3 linked regions of the Arabidopsis thaliana genome follow. Each later gene encodes a partner of the first gene's protein in a complex. Each region holds a gene or a part of one and is shown on either strand. Other genes may lie near its edges.

The links.
Region 2: ATE2F2 (region 1) and MYB3R-3 share a complex: the UniProt entries of both Arabidopsis thaliana proteins name them as parts of the DREAM-like complex.
Region 3: ATE2F2 (region 1) and RBR1 share a complex: the UniProt entries of both Arabidopsis thaliana proteins name them as parts of the DREAM-like complex.

The regions. Positions count from the first base shown.
Region 1 is NC_003070.9:17,633,102-17,639,156, reverse strand, and holds ATE2F2 (winged-helix DNA-binding transcription factor family protein), read right to left. Parts: upstream 4,461-6,055; 5' UTR 4,221-4,460; coding exon 3,987-4,220; intron 3,726-3,986; coding exon 3,539-3,725; intron 3,428-3,538; coding exon 3,368-3,427; intron 3,284-3,367; coding exon 3,198-3,283; intron 2,999-3,197; coding exon 2,910-2,998; intron 2,822-2,909; coding exon 2,767-2,821; intron 2,599-2,766; coding exon 2,546-2,598; intron 2,454-2,545; coding exon 2,403-2,453; intron 2,324-2,402; coding exon 2,275-2,323; intron 2,195-2,274; coding exon 2,129-2,194; intron 2,043-2,128; coding exon 1,972-2,042; intron 1,882-1,971; coding exon 1,767-1,881; intron 1,675-1,766; coding exon 1,600-1,674; 3' UTR 1,348-1,599; downstream 1-1,347. UniProt on the Arabidopsis thaliana protein: Involved in transcriptional repression. May act by repressing E2F-regulated genes in mature differentiated cells, but is not an antagonist of E2FA.
Region 2 is NC_003074.8:2,877,837-2,884,354, forward strand, and holds MYB3R-3 (myb domain protein 3r-3), read left to right. Parts: upstream 1-1,516; 5' UTR 1,517-1,697; coding exon of another isoform or gene 1,698-1,739; 5' UTR 1,740-1,981; coding exon 1,982-2,223; intron 2,224-2,335; coding exon 2,336-2,387; intron 2,388-2,484; coding exon 2,485-2,542; intron 2,543-2,830; coding exon 2,831-2,925; intron 2,926-3,008; coding exon 3,009-3,112; intron 3,113-3,188; coding exon 3,189-3,317; intron 3,318-3,415; coding exon 3,416-4,292; 3' UTR 4,293-4,519; downstream 4,520-6,518. Other genes in the region: AT3G09360 (Cyclin/Brf1-like TBP-binding protein), read left to right, coding at 1-7, 213-266, 354-596. UniProt on the Arabidopsis thaliana protein: Transcription factor that binds 5'-AACGG-3' motifs in gene promoters. Transcription repressor that regulates organ growth.
Region 3 is NC_003074.8:3,911,861-3,921,237, reverse strand, and holds RBR1 (retinoblastoma-related 1), read left to right. Parts: upstream 1-1,878; 5' UTR 1,879-2,350; intron 2,351-2,790; 5' UTR 2,791-2,804; coding exon 2,805-2,888; intron 2,889-3,003; coding exon 3,004-3,108; intron 3,109-3,194; coding exon 3,195-3,337; intron 3,338-3,416; coding exon 3,417-3,513; intron 3,514-3,599; coding exon 3,600-3,646; intron 3,647-3,913; coding exon 3,914-4,106; intron 4,107-4,237; coding exon 4,238-4,304; intron 4,305-4,390; coding exon 4,391-4,570; intron 4,571-4,670; coding exon 4,671-5,726; intron 5,727-5,821; coding exon 5,822-5,984; intron 5,985-6,082; coding exon 6,083-6,155; intron 6,156-6,276; coding exon 6,277-6,453; intron 6,454-6,546; coding exon 6,547-6,666; intron 6,667-6,748; coding exon 6,749-6,881; intron 6,882-6,973; coding exon 6,974-7,086; intron 7,087-7,194; coding exon 7,195-7,310; intron 7,311-7,392; coding exon 7,393-7,567; 3' UTR 7,568-7,889; downstream 7,890-9,377. Other genes in the region: AT3G12290 (Amino acid dehydrogenase family protein), read right to left, coding at 1-142, 251-463, 571-728, 902-1,085, 1,534-1,647; PRMT3 (protein arginine methyltransferase 3), read right to left, coding at 8,116-8,550, 8,628-8,795, 8,883-9,122, 9,207-9,285. UniProt on the Arabidopsis thaliana protein: Key regulator of entry into cell division. Acts as a transcription repressor of E2F target genes, whose activity is required for progress from the G1 to the S phase of the cell cycle.

The DNA.
Region 1 (6,055 bases):
AGAGAGACAAAGGAAATTTTAGGTCACCTATAATAGTAGAAGACACTATTGAGAAAAGGGATTCAGACTTAAAGTTATTATTCGTAGAATTTAAGAGAGAATTGTTGTCTAGCTCTTTATCTTTTACTTTCTGGTTTTCCGTTCTGTACGTTCGGTTCTCTGTTCTGTATTTTCAGGTTTCTCATTCTGTACGTTCGGTTCTCCGTTTTGTCCTTTTGGTTCTCCATTATATATTTCCTGATTTTCCGTTATGTACTTTCGGTTCTCCGTTCTGCATTTTTGGTTTTTCGTTCTGTAATTTTATTGTTCTCCTTCATCGTTAATAAAAAATCTACTCCGTTCTCCTCAAACTCCTTAGTTACTTATTGTTAAAACCTCGGTACAAACATTACCAAGTTGTCCTCTGTCCAATTCCAACCTAGAAGAAACGTCAACATTGCATTTTTAAAGTTTGAATATGAGCCAAAAACAAAAACAAAAAAGGAGCAAAACTGACTTGGCGAGGTAGAAAATTTTTGTTCACTACCTCTTCTTCTATGATGTATCAACGAATCTGCTCTATACCTTCTCTTATTTGACAGGCTATATTTGAGTTTTGCTTCTATTCCAATAATGCTTAGCCATGATTTTCAACAATAAAATTACCATAAAAGTTTGTATATAAAAAAAAATCAAGAATCTCGGTCAAAACGATATTGTTGTAGTGAACTGAGCCATTTGTTTGGGAATCGTTTGAGATGGTAGTCAGCGGCAAAACGACGTTGTTCGATGTTCTTGATTTTTGAGTCGCTTTCAATCTTCTCGTGTGTGGGTGAGTTTATATAGCAGAATTATATCCAACAATGTATATTAGGAAAATTATCCTCTGAAAGGCATTCCTTTTTTTTTAGGGTACGTTTTACTGTTTTAGGCAGTTACTTCTAGGCAAGAGTTATGCCATTTAACGAAAAGTATTGCTTGGGATCCAAACAAGCACCATATTTAGGGATCCACCAAGATATCAATGTCCAATGTGGTCATGATTAACTCATGAATGACATCAAACATGATATGATCTAACTCATGAATGACATCAAGCTTTGTAAAGTTGATACTTCTTTTCCACAAGATATTTTTCTCTACTAGCGTTCAAGACTTCGAGCTTTGAAACTAAATGTAACAAGATGAGAGATTAACTAGTTTTCAATTTGGAACCATTCGTTTTTTGACATGATTCTGACAGAAGTAACGTTTGATATTGTCCAAATCAGGTGGTTCGTAAATGATGCTTTGTTTCTGTTTGAACATGCAAATTGTAACCTATGGACCCAAAGTGTCAAAAAGATTAATTTCAAAGTTCATTATAAACACATGTTACAAAAACAGATGTATGCATTGACATGCAAAAGGCCATTAAGTATAATTATATATCTAATTAGAGTACAAGTTTTTTCACATAATTGCCACATCCCTTGAATGACCTTAAAATATTGCATCTTTTATTTTTATAAGGAAAAAAATCTATTAGGATTTCAGGCTCAAAAGGGGTAGTAAAATGTAACAGAAAATTCATCCTCATCCTAGTAATTGGGAATTTGAGGTTTCAAACAACTTTGTTTCTCAGCTGTTGAAGTTGCTCCATAAATCTGTGAGGCTCACCTCTGCATCTGACTCGAACCAGTAATCTGCTTTTAACTGGCAATACACAACCAAAAATTCAACTTAATCGCAACATACGAAATGCGAGACTGATCCCAAAACCCATATCAGTGGATCTAAATACTTACATCAGTATCTGAAGTTACTATTTTCAAGGAAGGAGTGTCTACTCCAACTGGAGCTTTTTGATCAGACTCATTACCCAACTTGTCGCTTGTTTCCGCACTGTCTCCTTTGTATTTGCTGCGATCATGTTTGTTCCCAGTTATTAACACTGACTGACAAATATATAGATAAGACCAGACACAGAGAGTGGAATGTGTAACTAAGTACCTTAAAAGATAGACATCAATCGGCCCCATTCTACTCCTAATCACCATCCGGTACTGTTGCGGAAAACTCATCTATCGTGAACAAAAACAGATGCTTTACTTTGTGACACATTATATTACAACTGTACAGCAAATATGAAAGCATTAAAAACGCTCACCTCATCAGGATCTGGAACTTCGATGTAACTAGCTGTAGGAGCTTTAATTGCTAGTAATGTCTGGTTCTGTATAAGGACTACCAGTTTAGTATGTTAAATAACTGAGGAAAACATAAGATGATTTTCAAGAACTAGTTGGGGAGGACCTGAAACCGTGGGAGACTCGTTATATCTTCCTCCGTCATAAACATGTACCTGTTTATTTCCATCATTGATCTTAGCAACACTCTCGTGTATATACAAAAAGATGAAACTCAAATAAACTGACGAATACCTTCTACAGTAGTCATCTTCCTCCAAGGATCTGAGAGCTTCTTGTCGTTCCCTGGAGATACATAACATGATGATCTTCAAACCATGTGGGAAAGGAACAATGGATAAGTCTCCAAACATAATATAAGAACACAAGCAACCAACCTTATAAGATCATCCAACCTGCTTTCCTCAGATTGCATACTCTCTACTTCTGACTGAAAATACGTAGATATGTAACCGGTCAGTAATGGGGAATTTGAAAATAACTGTGTGAAATAAACTATAAGACAGAAAAATAATGAAATCATGAATTTGACAGATTATTTGCATAGCAGTAAGTTCTACGACAAAGAAAACACGTGAAAATGCTTGTCACAATGAACCTTAAGCCTAGAAATTTGATCTCCCAGGTCCTTTTGTCCAAGATTGTCAGCACCCCTGCATCAATAGCGCATACACAAAGTCAGACGAACTCAAGCTATATACGCTGCAATGTATCCAAGAAAGAAAAAATTTGTGTACTTACTTCCAGCGGATATGATTCTTTGTAGTTTTCTCTATCAATCCAATTCCTTCAAGGACATTTGTAATATCATATATCCTTCTTTTTTGTACCTGTTAAGAGGGATCGCAGGAACACGTAAGCACATAAGAGGAGATCCTAACAAGCTGATGAAGATAACTAGGGAGATATCAAACAGTTAAGGCAAGGGTTATAAAGGTGAGTGATCTTTTTAGTCCACGTTCTTAATTAGATCTTCTACGAGTTGAGACATACATTTTTAACTTAAATATTAAGATACATTTAGCATACCTCCAAAACAACTGCACAATAGTTAAGGTCAAGTGTTCCATCCTCAGCTTCCTGGATCAACTTCACGAATTTTTTTGTCAACAACCCTATCAAACAAAAGAGACACCGATACAATTACAGTTGTTATCTCCATACAAACATGAACCTTAGTAAACAGAACTATTAGTTACCTAAAGAACTGTCATAACGGCAGTTAATACTAGCTCCATTTAAGCCACCATTTTGCACTTCTGCACAAAAAAACTCATTCACAACAATGCTGAATACAAACAGATTCTTATTTTCAATACATATCACATTCTAAGAGCTAGCCAAAGAGATTGATCAGAAAAAGCAGATACCGCCATTCGCCATTCGTTTCCCAGCCTTTAACAGTTTAGTACCACCCTTTGACTTGTTGTATACACGTTTAACATTTTGAGGAGACGACTCTTGTTTCACTATTACTTTAGCTATATCTATGCTTTCTCCTCCAGACATGTTGGCAATAGATCCAAGCTGAATTCGATGATTCTTTCTACTCTTCTGCTGCAAATTAAGAAAAGATCAACTCAATAGCATTACAATCACCAAAACGAATCTAAATTCGCAAATTGAGATTAGAGAATTGAAAGCTAGAGATCCAATTTTGGATTAAGTTTCCCTTAATGAAACCAAACTTCATTCAATTTTTGTTTTCGCGAAATTTGGGAATCAGAATTAAACCTAGCTATCGCAAAATCAAGTTCGGAAATGGAATCAAAATCAAAGAAGGAATCTACGAGGACTTGAGTAAACGAAGAGACTCACAACTTTCTGAGTGATTTGAGAGTAAGAATCGTCCCAGTGAGGTGAAATTAGAGGAGACAGTTGTGAATTCGGAAGCGATTGAGAGACTGAGAAAGGTCGATTCGTTGAAGAAGGAGTTAGAGAAGAGTAACGAGGATCAGAGGAAGAGATAGATTGAAGTAATTCGAAGCGAAAAGGAGATCGGTGATGGTAAGAGAGAGTCGGATCTTCGCCTGAGTTTGATGTCGCGGCCATGTAACGGCGGTGTATCTCCGGTGGTAGAGAAGATGGGATTTAGAGTGATTTTTTGAAGCGATTTTGGAGAATCGTGATTTAGGTTTTTGTGGGGGAAGATGAAGAAGGAGAAGAGGGAAGATGGAGAAAAAGATGGAGAGAGAAGAGAGGAAACAGCGGGAAGAAGAGGAAGGGTAAAAGTGTCTTTTTGTTGTATTAAAAAGATTAATATAAGAAAGAAATATTGGAATTATGTTAAAAGAGCGGTGGGCGAAAGAAGTTGGAGAGAGTTTCGAATTCTGCCTAAGCCCCGCCTAACTTCTTCCGCTTATTATTTTACTCTTTTGACTATTTGTTGGGCTTGGTCTTGGGCTTGGTCTTGGGCTTGAATTGGGCTTAATAATGTTACGACGTTTACATATCTTCTAGAGCTTCATACTTTGTAGCTTTATGTTAATGATCGACATTCATGGTTCACGAATCTATAAATACGGAGTCTCGGCATTGCTAGATTGAGTTTACAGGGGAGTCCTAATCTCCGAGGTCCATCTGCACCAATAAACTCTATGAACGGCCCAAATTTGGTCCAGTTATCATACCAAAAAGTAGTTTAGAGTTCATGGTCTTTGCCAAAAGGTAGAAATTAGAATGAATTTCTAAACCCATGATTCATTTTGTTTCTCTGGTATCATTTTTCTAGCTTTTTTTCTTTAATATTTTCATAAAAACAATTGAAGAATGAAGAGTGCTTCTGCATAGTTGAGTACTTGAGTAAGTGATATCTAATTAATATCAAATTATGTGAAAATTATACCATCTTTTATGAAGTCGTACTATATATGTATATATGTTTTTTTGTCTATCTTAATATATGTTTATGGGTCTGATTGGTAACCAAAAGTTGTTAACTCTACTACAGGTATTAAGCTGTACAATAAACTAAGAGTAAAACTTTGTAACGCTTAGTACCGTTTTGTAAAGTGGTTACCAATCAAAACCTATATTAGGTTATAAGGAAGCGATGGGTGCATTGACGACAAACACACAAACTTGGTGTATAGCGCTACACAAGGGACTGTTTTTTTTTTCATTGTATTATTACCAATTGCATCATGTAACAAAAATAGGAATTCAAAATACTGAATTAATTAATCATGATTTTGAATAAACAAAACATATTAAAGGAATGTAAATATAATTGAGTTATTTCAAAGAGTTTTCGTATCGCATAAGTTTGATACCTTAACTTGTTTTCGTAAAACTGGACAAATATGACGAGAAAAAATCCCTTCATGATATCATGATGGCTTAAATCAACGTAATTTCCATTAGTTTAGATCTGAGAGACTGAAACATTGGTGTACCAAACAATGTAAAACACACATTTTCGTCCCTATGGCATGTGACAACTTTTTAGCCAAAAAAAAGAAAGAGTATTTTATTTAGAAAAATATTTGTGAAGACATATTATCCACATTTTTAAAATTTATTGTAGCCATGGATCAGAAAAATTATATTATATTTTAGTTTAACTGTGACAAACAAACAAAACAAGATTATCCATATAAATGTAAGTTCGTCTAGATATTCATACAGAAAAAGTTTGTCTAGTTGCATTTTTGTTGTCCTAAATTTCAAGTGCACTAACGCGAAATCTACTTCACTTGTCATGGTGCAGTAAGAAAAAAACAGTAAATAAAAAATGAAAAAAATATGGAAACACTAAAAAAGAATTTACAATAGTCGATAGCATTTTTATTTGTTTACTTTGGTTCCTTTTTTCTACTTTTATACAAAAGAAAAGGTGAGGAGGAATTTATAGCCTCTAAAAGTGATCTTACAAGTTATCTAACGTT
Region 2 (6,518 bases), on another chromosome or scaffold:
TAAAAAGGTTAGAATGTCAGCTTCTTTGATACCTTGATACTTGAAAACGAATATGCAAAAAAAGATAAACCGAGTATGCCATGTATCATCTGTTAAAAACCTGGCCTGGAAGTACATAGTCAACAACATGGCTGTCGAAATTATTAGCATTGAAGAAACTTTAGAGTCTGTGTTTCTTCCTTTTTCCTGATTTTGAGTGTTGACTCTTACAGAGACTTAGTTCGGTGATCAACTACGATGTTTTGGAGTCGCTATTTGATACATCCGTAAGTTTTTGATTACCTCTTCTTGTATCCTCAATTCTCATCACTTTTTGAGGTCTTTACAATTTTGCTTCTCTTTTCTTCTTTCAGGCACCTGAGAAATCACCCAAGAGGTCGAAAACAGAGACAGACATTGAGAAGAAGAAGGAAGAGAACAAGGAAATGAAGAGTAATGAACATGAGAATGGTGAAAATGAAGATGAAGATGAAGAGGATGAAGAAGAAGGCAATGTAGAATCATACGACATGAAGACAGATTTTCAAAACGGCGAGAAATTCTATGAAGAGGACGAGGAAGAAGAAGAGGATGGTAATGATTTTGGATTGTATTGATGATATGTATTGTGAAACACAAGAGTTTTAATTTCTTTTGTTTTGCCGGATTAGTTGATTTTATTTGCATTAATATAGGAGAACCCCAACTAAATTTATTCTTTATTATCAGTAACAAATATTTAAGATTTAAAAGAAAAAAAAGTTCACACAAATGATCTATTTATTTTTACAATTCAAGTGGTACTGACTAAGAAATGAAAAACCACTAACTTAATTAATTTAATAAAATCTATATGTATTTAATTTTGATAATTTTATTTTCCTTGTTTATGATAATTCTAATTTCTATCAGATAACAACTAACAATCACTGAACTTATCTCACCTATTTGATGAGCTAAATGTATTTTAAATTTATTTTTCTATAAAGATATAACTGAAACAAAAGTGATGACTTTTTATGAAAATTCCCAAAATCAAATACCAGAAAATTCAATTTTAAACAAAATGTGTCGGTCCGGATGATCTTACATCTAGCTTGGTTTTACAGGATAGTATTTAAGAAGAATCATAAAGTTCATCTCAAACCAAATCCGACGGTCCAGAGTCACCTGCAAAGCTTGGCATCGTATACGTGTTCAGTGGTCAACGGATCAGCTACGAGTGCCGTTTGAGGTTCAAACTTCTGTTTCTGAGGTTAACTCTCTACCGTTAACGTCCGTTAGTGTACCTTCTAACCTTGACGACTTTTCCACTTTCCAAAAGATAACGACGGCGTTAAATTGGTCTATTTTACTGAACCAGCTTTAACCAGAATTAGATTGCATTACATTCAACTCGTGCTTATGGATAAATATCAGTTCGGTTTGGAGAAAATAGGTTACTTAAGGTAAAAAGAACGGCAAGTAACGGTGTGACGTCAGCAGAAGAAGTATTCGTTATAATAGTGAGAGAGAGAGAGATAAAACTTAGGGAACCCTTTTTTATGTTTTATTTTCTCGCTTTGTTTCGATCAAGTCTTCTCTTTCTCTCTCTATCCCTCTCTCTCTGGTTCAACGGGCAAAGTATTTTTCGAATAAAGTTTTGGTTTTTTTTTTAACGTTCCTTTCGCCTTCTTTCTTCTTCTTCTGCTGGTGAATTCGTGTATCTATCTATCTCGATGAGCTCCACTTTTAATCCAGCCGCTTCTTCTCCAGATGAGGTTAGTTTTTGTGTATCGAATCTGAATTTTTAAGGGTTTTGTTCTTGTGATCAGATTCTAGTGAAATTGAGTTCTTTGTTGTTTGGCTCTGATTCGAAACGAATTTAACTTTATTGAAACTATAAATTTTTGTGATTACAATTGTTATAAACCCTAATTTTGCTGTGGTTGGTGTTAATGTTGAGCTGTTTACTGAATTCGTGATTTGTGAGATCTGGGTTCTGTCTGCTTTGTGTTTTACGATGATTGCTTTTTTAGGGTTTCTCTGTTTCTTATCAAAGTCTGGATCTTTTTTTTCTTTCATTGAGATGATGGATCTTCAGGAAGAAACAGGTGAAGTGAAAATTGAGGATCAGTGTGTAGAAAATAAGCAATCAACACCTGCTTCGTGCTCTTCTGTATCTGAAGGCAGTGCTGGTAGTTCCCACAAGTCACCTACAATTGCAAGTCCTGCCACAGTATCACCTACTCATAGGTACCTCGGGTTAGTTCGTCTCCTTCTTCTTCTTCCTTGTTTTGTATCTCCTCCGCAGCACTCGTTTGCGAATTTGCATCTTTTCTACAAGAGATTGATGTTGATAGTGTTTGGTATGCAGGAGGACGAGTGGCCCTATAAGGCGAGCCAAAGGTGGGTGGACTCCGGAAGAGGTTAGTATTGAGTATTGACTAGTGATTGCTTTTGACCAATATCAATTTTGGATCAGTAGTTCGAAATTCAAGATGTGAGTTGTTTTACTTAATGCAGGATGAGACATTGAGACAAGCAGTTGACACGTTTAAAGGCAAGAGCTGGAAGAACATAGGTAAGTCTCTTCTTCTTTTTAGATTCTAGTTCTCATATTAACAAGAGTAATGTCAGTGCTACAACATACTCCATAGATTTGTGGTTCGAATATTAAAGTTGGAGCCTACTTGCTTACAGTAACTATTAGTTCCATACTCTTGTCTCTGTAGTTTTATGAGTTACTCTTGTATGTTAACTTGATCATCTGAGGCTGAGCATCTAGTAGAAAGACTTTCTTTTACGTTTGTTTCCGTTTTGTTCCGTGAAGCATTTAGTATTGTTTGAATTGGTGTATTCATTTTTGCAGCGAAATCTTTCCCTGATAGAACTGAAGTTCAATGCCTGCATCGGTGGCAGAAAGTTCTAAATCCAGACCTTATTAAGGGACCTTGGACACATGAGGTTGATTCTGTTTCTGATTTTATTTATTATTTGGCTTCATTTTTTATGTGAAATACGAAGGCTTAAAGTTTGTTGTTTTGCAGGAGGATGAGAAAATCGTTGAACTGGTTGAAAAATACGGGCCTGCGAAATGGTCTATTATCGCACAGTCTTTACCAGGTCGAATTGGGAAGCAATGCCGAGAGAGGTAGTTAATTCATATGAGCCAAGCATTTTTCTTATAGTTATATTGGAAGCTTTAATGTGTTTTGATATGTATGCAGGTGGCATAACCATTTGAATCCTGATATTAACAAGGATGCTTGGACCACAGAGGAAGAAGTAGCTCTCATGAATGCTCATCGAAGCCACGGAAACAAATGGGCTGAAATTGCTAAGGTCTTACCCGGCAGGTATTTTTACTTTTCTTGGCATGCGTCATTGGAGTTGAGACTTTAGAGAAGGGTTAGCTTCTGGGTTTAATGAAGGTTTTACTTAAAACTTGCTGCAGGACTGATAATGCAATAAAGAACCATTGGAATAGTTCATTGAAAAAGAAGTCAGAATTCTACTTATTGACTGGTAGGTTACCACCACCAACAACAACAAGGAATGGTGTTCCTGATAGTGTAACCAAACGTTCATCGTCTGCTCAGAAAAGGGTTTTTGGTTCAGTTGCTCAAACCTCATCAGTAACTACAGATGTAAACAATCTCGCTGAAGACGGAAATGGCCAAATAAACTCATCTGTTCCTGTCGAAGAAGTAGTAGCTGCTTCACGAATGACTAGTCTTAATGAGTATGCTCGTTCTCCTCAGTTGCCTAACCCAGAGCCATTGCCAGAGAATGGTGGAGCTGCAAATAATGGTTATCATCTGTACTACACGCCTCAAATAGACTATTACAGGGCGTCAGAAGTGGATACGCAGCGTATGTATGGGAATGAATGTGGTTGCAGTCCAAGCGCATCACCAGTTAGCTTCTTCACTCCACCGCCGTGTAGGAATGTGCACAGTAACGGTTCGACTCCAAGAAGTCCTGAATCTTACCTGAGAGAAGCTGGTAGAACTTACCCAAACACACCATCCATATTCAGGAAAAGACGACCCAGGGTTGTTGTTCAGGATAACAACAACGCCAAGAAAACAGATGAAGCTAAAGAGGTTGATCAAAAGGTGAATGATGGTAAGGATAGTTCAGAGATTCAAAATAATGGATCAAATGCTTACAATCTATCTCCTCCATATCGGATAAGATCGAAAAGGACAGCAGTTTTCAAATCAAGACAGCTTGAGTTTATATCTAGAGAGGAAGAGAAAGCTGATGATGAAACCAAATCATCTGAGAAAGATATGTTGATTGATGGAGATTCTCAACTCCTAGGCTAAACAGTGACTAGATGATTACACGCTGAATGTTGTTTCATTGGTTATATTTTTATTTTTGGGTTAATGTTAGAGATGTTAGATGTATTTAGTCCAAAGAATAATTTACACCTCATAGTTGAGCTAGGTTTTTTTTTTCCATAACAAAAAAAAGATCTTCAGTAGTGGGCCATAGAAATTGGTGCATGTTCTTGATTATTTGATTGATATGCGTCTTTGATTATTTGAACATTGAATCATTCGTTCACCGATGTGAACAATATCACTCTGCTTTGAATTTTTTTCTAAATAGACTTTATGATGTCATTATTCAAACGGGTAGGTAATTTACAAATCATAAGATAGTTTCACATTGACAAAAGTGTTTTAGATCAAATCAGCTATATTCTTTGGCAACTCGTCAATCTGAGTACTGTAGTACTGCTCAATGTCCCGGAGAATCTTGATCTCGTCGATTTTAACAAAGTTGATTGCAACACCCTTACGTCCGAAACGACCAGACCGTCCAATACGATGAATGTAGAGCTCACGGTTGTTAGGGAGATCATAATTGATGACAAGAGAAACTTGATCCACATCAATCCCACGTGCAAACATATCTGTTGTGATCAAAACGCGACTTTCACCTGTCCGAAACTGATTCATGATCTCGTCTCTCTCCTTCTGAGGCATGTCCCCATGCATTGATGAGACAGTGAAGTTGCTGCTCCTCATTTTCTCACTAATATAGTCCACTTTTCGTTTTGTGTTGCAGAAGATAACAGCTTTAGTGATGATAAGTGTGTCGTAAAGATCACATATTGTCTCAAATTTCCACTCCTCTTTCTCTACAGAAATAAAAAAGTTTTTAATTCCCTCAAGAGTCAACTCATCACGCTTCACAAGTATCTTCACCGGATCCGTCATAAACTTGCTTGTCATCTCCAAAATCTCGTGAGGTAGAGTTGCAGAAACCAAGCAAACCTGAATATCAGGTGGAAGATATCTGTAAACATCATAGATTTGTTCCTTGAATCCTCTGCTCAGCATTTCATCTGATTCATCAAGAATCAAAAGGTTAATAGCTCTGGTGCCTAGACTTCTCCTCTTTATCATGTCATAGACACGACCAGGTGTTCCGGACACAACATGGACACCATGCTCCAGCTTCCTTATGTCTTCTCCGAGGCTCTTCCCACCAATGCATGCATGCGTCTTATCTGTTTGTGAAAGCCAGCTCTCTTGTTGGGGATAATATCAAGGCCTGAACCCTGCAATCAGAAATACCAACAAATAAGATGAGAATAAATTTGGAGATAACTTGGCAGAAAAGTTAAAATTGGAATTAGGGTATGAGGAAGAGAAAACGTACTCTCTAGACGAAAGTGTCAACGACTTGGCAGACGGAGAGAGCAATCATAGAGGTCTTTCCCGTACCGGACTGAGCTTGAGCAATAACATCTCGCCCTTGGAGAATTGGCATGATCGCCCTCTGCTGAATGGCCGAGGGCTTCTCGTAACCGTACTCGTATAAACCACGAAGAACATCCTCTTTAAGGCCCATATCTTCGAAACTCTCGATGGGATCGACCCCTTTGGTCGTCTCGAAGTCATCCATTGTTCCAACGCCTCTCCTACGGTCTCCACGGCCAGGATTCGCCACCATAATAATCTATACCCTAATCGATCTCTGTTTAAAAGTTGAAAAGCTTTTTGATTTTTTGTATTCAATAGAAGAATGTTGTGAGCTCTAAACAACACCAAAGGTCACGTTTATATAGCAAAAATCCAACACCCTTTTCCTATCAAGAATATGTTTCTAATAAGGAATACCCCGATCCGAAACCGACTTTAGCCATATTATAAAGAAAAATAAAAAAAAAGAACGAATTACATACGTGTTATTGGTTACCGATTTAAATAGAGTTTTAGTAATTTAAAATATTGTGGAGAATCTGTTGTTATTTAATCAAGACTTTTAAAAAGTTTGTTAAAGTTAGGTGTTAATAGTTTAATATTTGTAAAAAGTAATCTAAAATCTTCATAAATTTAGAGTTATTGGATTCATACTTTTATAAAAATTCATTAAAAGTTTGTTTCAAATAAAATAAAAGAATTTATGATTGTTAATGAATTAAATTATTGTGTTATTGGTTTATGACTTTCTACGCTTTTCGTTAAAAAAAATAAAGTCATGAAAAATATCATCAAAATAGAGAGATTGTTTGAAAAGCTAATCAACAACATTAT
Region 3 (9,377 bases), on another chromosome or scaffold:
TTATGAAACCTGCAACTTTTGAAGCTTCTGCGAAATCAACATCTCCAACCAACCGGTATCCTGATTTCTTGCTCGGGTCGCTGACTGCATTAGTTCCAACATCAATTACTGCAGCCCCTGGCTTTATCCAGTTGCCCTTAATCTGAAATGTCAAAACGATAGTATATTTGAATTGTAAACTATTCACATTGATCTACAAGAGGTAGACTAAATTATCTTCTAAATGACAATGAAAATGTATGAAAATCACCATGTGGGCTTGTCCGCATGCAGCAATAACAATGTCAGCTTCCCGTATGATAGCCTCAGGATCCTTGGTGTGAGAATGTACAGTTGTGACAGTAGCATCAGCCTTGAGCAAAAGAAGTGAAACGGGCAAACCAACAATGTTACTCCGACCTACAACAACTGCTCGTTGCCCCTTTATCTTTACGCCGCTTCTAGCTAGGAGTTCCAAACATCCCTGCACACACAGAAAATCACCTCATAGTTGATACAGAAGAAAAACAGAACACTGAGATTTCTCGCTTGAAAGAGACTGAAGTCTATATGCAAAAAAAGGAGAAGTACCTTTGGGGTGCAAGGAAGGAAGAGGGGTTCTCTGCCTTTCATGGCTAGCTTACCAATATTCAAAGGATGGAAGCCATCGACATCTTTATCAATGCTGATTGCACCCAATATATGCTCCTCATTAATATGTTTCGGCAATGGGAGTTGAACTAATATGCCTGCAAATCAAACACCAAAGCTTATATAAGCACAGGAGAGCAAGGAATGTTTGCTTTATACCAAAACGAAAGACTTGCATAGACATTAAAGTTTCTATCTATCCTTAATAGTTTAGACTAATGATAACCGAGAAGACATACAAAATCAAGTATTATTTACCGCCACAACTAACCATGGACATCCGGATTTGAATTTAGTTCATGAACTTTGCTAATAAGATCAGCTTCAGAAACTTCCTCTGGTAGGCCCACGTCAAATGACTTAATCCCAACCTCAGCGCACGCTTTCCTCTTCGTATTCACATAGGTCTGTGAATCCTTTCGGCTCCCAACAATAACTACAGCTAGTCCTGGGACCTGCATGAAGGTAAAATCAGATTCGATTGAATCTCGTACATTCTTGAAACTATATAAAGGGGTCCAACTGAAGCAACTGAACAAACGCACTAAACCATTTATTACACATACTCTCGTTCCTTCTATTTTATTACAATGATATCAAACATTATAAGCTTAGCACACACTATCTGTATAAATAAGATAGTATGCCACTTGAAGTAATGCAGGCAGCTCAAAAATCCAGCGAAACAAAATAACAGTGATCTAACTAAAATGGAGCTTACATTTGACCCTGTTAAGCATTTTCAATAGAAGGTTGTGATCATAGCTGCTTAAATCTAGTCATTTTAAACCATAAAGCTAAAAGAGAGTAAATTTTCAATAGTGCTATCATCTTATAAAAGAACGGAGAATTATAAGGAGAGACATGTCAAGATTAGGACACTGATTCATAAGATGCGTTTACCTTGCCGTGTTTCTCAGATAGACCGCGAACTTCCTCGGCGATCTCTGATCTGATGGTATGAGCAATCGCCTTGCCGTCGATTATCTTCGCCGTGTGATCAGATGATGACGCCATGAGCCACTAGGAATTTGCCTCGTGTCGGAAATATCTAATTCTCTCTCTGGATCCACTCACACTCGAAGATGACGAAGAAGACTTAATCTGAATCCATCCGCGGATAGGACACTCATACTTCTGCAACCAAACGTTCTACAATGGCAAATATGTAATTTCCCGCGTGACCTAAACTAGAAACGGCATCGTATTAAGGGTGGGCCCAATCATAACTCACACGAGGCTTTGTCGCGGTCACGAAAACCCAGACGGCGTTAATGGCCCACTCCGTTTGTTTCGACCCCGCCGTGACGGCGAATCTTTCCCTCTCAGCGTTTCACGCAACAGTAAGTAAGTTTTGGCGGTAAAATTGGGTCACAGATGGGTACGTGTCGATTTAATAGTGGTTGAAAGCGCGCGAATATAATTGTATACGTATGTGTATGTATTCTCCGTGTTGTTTTTCCCGCGCGAGATATATCCTTTTTTAGGGTTTGCCGCATAATCAGACCCCATTCTAGAGAGAGAAGAGGGAAGTCAGGTGAAGATAGAGAGAGACACTGAGAGGAGGGAAAATTTGTAGGGTTTTCGGAGATCTCTGTGATTCCTCTGAATTTGTCGAATTTTTTGGAGGAGGCGTTAGAAGTCGGGCTTCTTAAAAATCAGATCTTCTGCTCAGGCTTTAATCGGCGACGTCTGGTATTGGGATCTGTGACACAAAAAGGTAAGATCTTTCTCTATTGCCTATCCTTTGATTTGAAATCTTATCCTCTAGGTGGTTTATCTGAAATTTTCTATTGATATTTCGCTATTCGATTGTAAGTTGGTGAGAGAATTCTCCAAAAACAAAAAAGAGAAAAACTTTGAATGAATATTTAAGATAACATCTGGGTAAAATTTTTCCGGAGTGGTGGGTTTTAGATTATGCCCCAATTTCTCTTCTTTTTTTCCCCCAAATTTTGTCTTTCTGCCATGTTTTGGGAAATTGGGAGTTTGTTTTCTCATGTCTGTTAGTGTGTTCTTCCGAATGGGTTGGGCATGGTTCCTATTGAATTTCAGTGTGATTAAATTAACAAATCTCTTTGCTTGAAAAGTCCCTTTTTCTTCGTCTTCAGTTAGCAGTTTAATTGGAAGTAAAATTAGCTTGATTTTGCATGTTTTCAGCTGCGTTGGAGACTATGGAAGAAGTTCAGCCTCCAGTGACCCCGCCCATTGAACCAAATGGGAAAAGAAGCGAAGCCTCTCTCTTGGACATATGCGAGGTTTACTCTTCTCTTTGCTGATCTAGTTGCATTTGTTTAGTTGAAGATACCATTTGAGTTCTCTCGGAAATTTTGAGGACTAGCTCTAATCCCTGTAGTTGATTTCTTATTGCAGAAAGTTCTGTCTCTTGATGGGAGCACTTGCGATGAAGCTTTGAAGTTGTTTACAGAAACCAAACGAATTTTGTCAGCAAGCATGTCTAACATTGGAAGTGGAACGGTGAAATACATTTTTCCTCTAACTTCTCTTTTATCAGTTAACTGTGGTTTCATTATGACTAAATCCTTTTTTCTTCTTCTTATTAGCGGGAAGAAGTAGAGAGGTTCTGGTTTGCGTTTATTCTCTATTCAGTGAAGAGGCTTAGTGTGAGAAAAGAAGCGGATGGTCTGTCAGTGTCTGGTGATAATGAGTTTAATCTATGTCAGATACTGAGGGCTCTGAAGCTAAAGTAAGTAGTGTTCAATTCTTCCTTCCTTGTCATTCTTAAATTCATTTGTAGTGACGATTTTCCTCTTTTCTGTTTATAGTATTGTGGATTTTTTTAAAGAGTTACCTCAGTTTGTGGTCAAGGCTGGATCTGTACTGGGTGAACTTTACGGCGCAGACTGGGAGAACAGACTTCAGGTTTTGACTAACATCTTTTAAATATACTTCTACTTCTATTATATCATTGTTAAATATGCTTCTATTAACTAATTTTTACTTACTAGGCAAAGGAGGTGCAGGCTAACTTTGTGCATCTTAGCCTTCTAAGCAAGTGAGTTTAGCTCCCTTCCTATTTTACATTTATCTTTGTTTTGTGTAAGAATAGTTATTGACATAGATTTCATATTTTGGACCTGCAACTTAGAAGCAAATTTTCTTCCTATGCAATAATCAGAATATGGGCTTGCAATATTCCTTCAATTTTAAATTAATTAAGATTTAGAGTTACAGATTTCTGGTTTTCATGTGATTATATTCTGTGAATTGTTTTAAGGACATGTTAAAGTATGATGTTTTTGGTACCTTTCCTTGGTAACAGATACTACAAACGTGGGTTCCGGGAATTCTTTTTGACATATGATGCAAACGCAGAAAAGAACTCAGCAAACTCTTCTACCTATTTGCTGGATAGTTATCGTTTTGGATGGCTACTCTTTTTGGCACTCCGAAACCATGCGTTTAGTCGATTTAAGGACCTCGTGACATGCTCAAATGGCGTAGTTTCTATATTGGTTAGTGACTACCTGTGGAGCTCTCCCTAATCTTTCATTCATTTTAGTCTTGCTGTACATTATTACTTGAAAGATGCTTCGTTTAATATAACGCAATTGAAGTATAGGCTAACTCCTTTTCATGTTATCAGGCTATTTTGATCATACATGTTCCTTGTCGGTTTAGAAATTTCAGCATCCAAGATTCTTCTCGCTTTGGTGAGTGTTTATCTTTTCTTCTATCCCGATAACCATGGCACCATAGAATGTTTATCATCTATTTTCATTTATGTGATGAATCTCAGTTAAGAAAGGTGACAAAGGTGTAGACTTGGTTGCATCACTTTGCAAGATATATGACGCCTCAGAAGATGAGTTGAGGATAGTAATTGACAAGGCAAATAATTTGGTAGAAACCATACTGAAGAAAAAGCCATCTCCAGCATCTGAGTGCCAAACTGACAAGCTAGATAATATTGACCCAGGTTGGTCTAAAATCATTTTCCTTCTTCAATTAAAGAATCATGTGAGTTCATTGAACAGTTGCCTGATTGTTCTTCGAATCTATATGGTGTTTTACTGCAGATGGCTTGACCTACTTTGAGGATTTACTGGAAGAGACGTCCATCTCAACTAGCTTAATTACACTTGAAAAGGATTACTATGATGGTAAAGGCGAACTTGATGAGAGGGTATTCATCAATGAAGAGGATAGCTTACTTGGATCTGGAAGCTTATCTGCAGGAGCTGTTAATATTACTGGTGTTAAGAGGAAAATTGATGCTTTGAGCTCACCTGCAAGGACATTTATAAGCCCACTTTCTCCTCATAAGTCGCCTGCTGCTAAGACAAATGGTATTAGCGGTGCTACCAAGTTGGCAGCAACACCAGTGAGCACAGCAATGACAACTGCCAAGTGGCTCAGGACTGTCATATCCCCGCTTCTGCCAAAACCTTCTCCTGGGTTGGAACATTTCCTTAAATCATGTGATAGGGATATAACAAATGACGTCACACGAAGAGCACACATAATATTGGAAGCTATTTTCCCAAATAGTTCCCTTGGTGCCCAATGTGGAGGTGGAAGTTTGCAAGCTGTTGACCTGATGGATGACATATGGGCAGAGCAGCGCAGATTAGAAGCTTGTAAGTTATACTACAGAGTTCTTGAGGCAATGTGTAAAGCAGAAGCTCAGATTTTGCATGCAAATAATCTGAACTCTTTATTGACAAATGAGAGGTTCCATAGATGCATGCTTGCTTGCTCAGCTGAATTGGTACTGGCTACCCACAAAACAATTACAATGTTGTTCCCAGCTGTTCTGGAGAGGACTGGGATCACAGCCTTTGATCTCAGCAAGGTAATTGAGAGTTTCATACGACATGAAGATTCTCTGCCTAGAGAGTTGAGACGACATCTGAATTCACTGGAGGAACGGCTTCTAGAGAGTATGGTATGGGAGAAAGGCTCTTCAATGTACAATTCTCTGATTGTTGCCAGGCCATCGCTTGCATTGGAGATAAATCAGCTCGGTTTACTAGCTGAACCAATGCCATCTCTGGATGCAATCGCAGCACTTATTAATTTCTCTGACGGAGCAAATCATGCATCATCTGTACAAAAGCATGAAACTTGTCCAGGTAGTTTTATTTGTTTCTGAATTAAAGCAGTTTTCCAACCTGTTGTTAATGGTATGATTTTCTTACCAAAAATTGTCAAATTTGCTGCCATATAGGACAAAATGGGGGGATTAGATCGCCCAAAAGATTATGTACTGATTACCGCAGCATTCTAGTTGAACGCAATTCCTTTACATCACCAGTAAAGGATCGTCTGTTGGCCTTAGGCAACGTTAAATCCAAGATGCTGCCACCTCCGTTGCAGTCTGCATTTGCCAGGTACATTTTGAGTAACTATGAGTAGAAATGGAGAGTTAGTTTACCTATCTAGTTGTCCCTGTACTTGTTAAGTAACCTCTTCGGATTTATGTCTACAGCCCAACACGGCCCAACCCAGGAGGTGGAGGAGAAACTTGTGCAGAAACTGGAATCAATATTTTCTTCACAAAGGTAGGTCTGTGAGATCTTTGGATCTACTACTAATCGTTTGGTTAGATGATGTACTACAAAACACGGTATTGATTCTTCATTTTCGGCTGGGAATTGTGTTAAATGTGGTGGCTCTTCCCAGATTAATAAATTGGCTGCTGTAAGAATCAATGGAATGGTGGAAAGACTACAACTTTCACAGCAAATAAGGGAGAGTGTGTATTGTTTCTTCCAACATGTACTTGCTCAGCGGACTTCTCTTTTATTCAGTCGACACATTGACCAGATCATTCTCTGTTGCTTCTACGGAGTGGCCAAGGTGAGTAGTGTGATTCAAAGGGTTTAACTATATGTCATCTGGTTTACAATGGCTTCTCTTACACTTACACTTTTTCCATGAATCACCTTGTAGATATCCCAAATGAGCCTGACTTTCAGGGAAATCATATACAACTACCGGAAGCAACCACAGTGTAAACCATTAGTTTTCCGCAGCGTTTATGTGGATGCGTTACAATGTCGCCGTCAAGGGGTATATATACACTCTTAACCTTATGCTGAAAAGTTTCTTTACTCGGTGGAGAAGACTAAATTTGTGACAATGACTTGAACAGAGAATAGGGCCAGATCATGTTGACATCATCACATTCTACAATGAAATATTTATTCCTGCCGTAAAGCCGCTGCTGGTGGAGCTAGGTCCTGTAAGAAACGACCGGGCTGTGGAAGCCAATAATAAGCCTGAAGGTAGTTAAGAAAGGCCAGATACTTGTTAGATGTAAGCTTTGTCTATCAATTTAGTCCCTAAGTTAAATGATCGTCTTATTTTGGATTCACAGGTCAATGTCCCGGATCGCCAAAGGTGTCTGTGTTTCCAAGTGTTCCAGACATGTCCCCTAAAAAAGTATCTGCAGTGCACAATGTTTATGTTTCTCCTCTTCGGGGATCAAAGGTAAAGAAGATCATAGTGCTTAACTCTTTATCATGATATGACTAAGTCTTGAGGAGGAGGTAGGTGACAAGATTGTTTGGTTACCTTCCATGTGTTGTGTGTTTGCAGATGGATGCTCTTATTTCACACAGTACAAAGAGTTACTATGCTTGTGTTGGAGAGAGTACACATGCTTACCAGAGCCCTTCAAAGGACCTATCTGCCATCAACAACCGCTTGAACAAGTAAGTAGAAAAATCACGTCTCTCATCAGCTTCTTCCATAAAACCAATCACTGACCCAATCCAATTTCATCTGGTGTCACAGCAGCAGCAGCAACCGCAAGAGGACGCTAAACTTTGACGCAGAAGCAGGGATGGTCAGCGATTCCATGGTAGCAAATAGCCTTAACCTCCAAAACCAAAATCAAAACCAAAATGGAAGCGATGCATCGTCCTCAGGTGGTGCCGCACCCCTTAAAACCGAGCCAACAGATTCATAGATATCTCTCTCTACTTGCTACACCAACTTCTCTTCAGTTATAGCATCTGTAAATCCTTATGTTGCAGAGTTTGCTTTTATGTTTAGCTTTCTAGTTTATAGTGATCACCTCAGGCTATGAGCGGATGGATCCCTTTATTGTTTCTTTTTTCTTTTTTTATCTTAGTTAAGTCAGTCTTAATAAGCATTAATAAATGTCTTTTTCTTGTTCACTCTTTCTAACTGTGTTCGGTGTCCCATCTACTAAATTTATTTTCCACTTTAAAAAAAAACAATTTGTGACATTTACTTAACTTGGAACATATACAGTACAGTTAAGCAATTAACTATAACCAACAAATTGTCTGAACAATTGTCTGTCTTACCTTTTTAGCTCTCTATAAATTTACGCCGCAAAACAACACTTTATGTCGATTTCAGAATAACTTACTACTCCAGCATATTTCTCAAAACTTTCTCAATAGGTTAAATTTAAAACAACCTTGCAACTTATGAAAAAATCCTCAGCAAATTTGCCAGAAAAGAGTGTTACAATGGCTACAATCACATTCATAGATTAAATATCTGAACCGGCCAGTGACGCTTCTGACCCTTTGAGCTCAGCCCAGTAGCCTCTAACGAGATGTCTATGCTGCGATGCTCATGTGCTCGTGCAACACTCACACGCAGATGAATGCTTGAGGCGGGACACTCTTCGGTTCCGATGGCTTCTCTTCTGTCATTACCAGACAGAACCGAGGCCGGTGCCACTGAGATTGGTTCTTGAAAAGTTAAGATTGTCTGAGCCCAGTGTGTTGGGGGAGTGTAGGGTGATGTGGATAGTACGGTTGGGTTTTCCTTACAGAACCTACTGGTGAAACCTGTGTCAAACCACAACACAACACCATGGCACAACCTAGTTTTTGCTTCTGACTCAGTGGGCTCCAGCGTTGCCGTTGCTGTGAAATCTACTTCATCCGGTTTCATGGTAGCCAGGTCAAATGTCTAGAAACAAAGAAATTCAAGGAAATTAATTTCAAAGTTTTTCCTGGCGAAACCAAATAATGTGTGATCTTTCAAACCTGAAGAAGGGTAGGCTGTGTCACTAAATCACGCTCCGCTATAACGTCAACAATGGGAAGTCGAGTAGTGTCGTCATGTATCTCCTTCCCAATTGAAGACATGTCAAAGCCATAGACATCTTCCCAGAAAGGAAGACTTGTTGCACCTTTTCCAAATCCCGCAACAAACTGATCCAAGGAGAAAACAAGGGATAAAACTCATCAAGATGATTTCATGAAAAAGACAACATTTGAAGGGCAAAAGATAAGCTTTACCATAGTGGCCGTGTCAGGGAGGATTGCACCTCCAGGTTTCAACCACCGATCTCTTGCATAGAGCACAGAACTGAGCATTGACTCATATAAAAGGCAGTATCCCATCCATTCGCTGACTAACACATCAACACTATGAGGCTGAATCTGTATCGATTTATCTAGCTCTTCTACCATTGAGTGTGCAACTTCAAGTACCCCATTATGCTCGTTATCATTGAATACTTTGTTATCCTTCGCAATCTGCTAGAAACCAGGTAAATAATTGATATCTATGAGGAAAAAAGAAATAATGAAAATCTTGTAACAAGTAGAAAAAAAGGTAACCTTAGTTGCAACTTTGGCCATCTTCTCACTAGCTTCAACTGCAACTACCCTTGAAGCCCCAGCTTTAGCAGCAAAAAGACTGCAGACAAAGGATAAATGGTTATTGCATGCAAACTAAAAATAAGAAGTACCAAAAGTTTGACTTAAACAATCAAAGGATCTGCATATAGG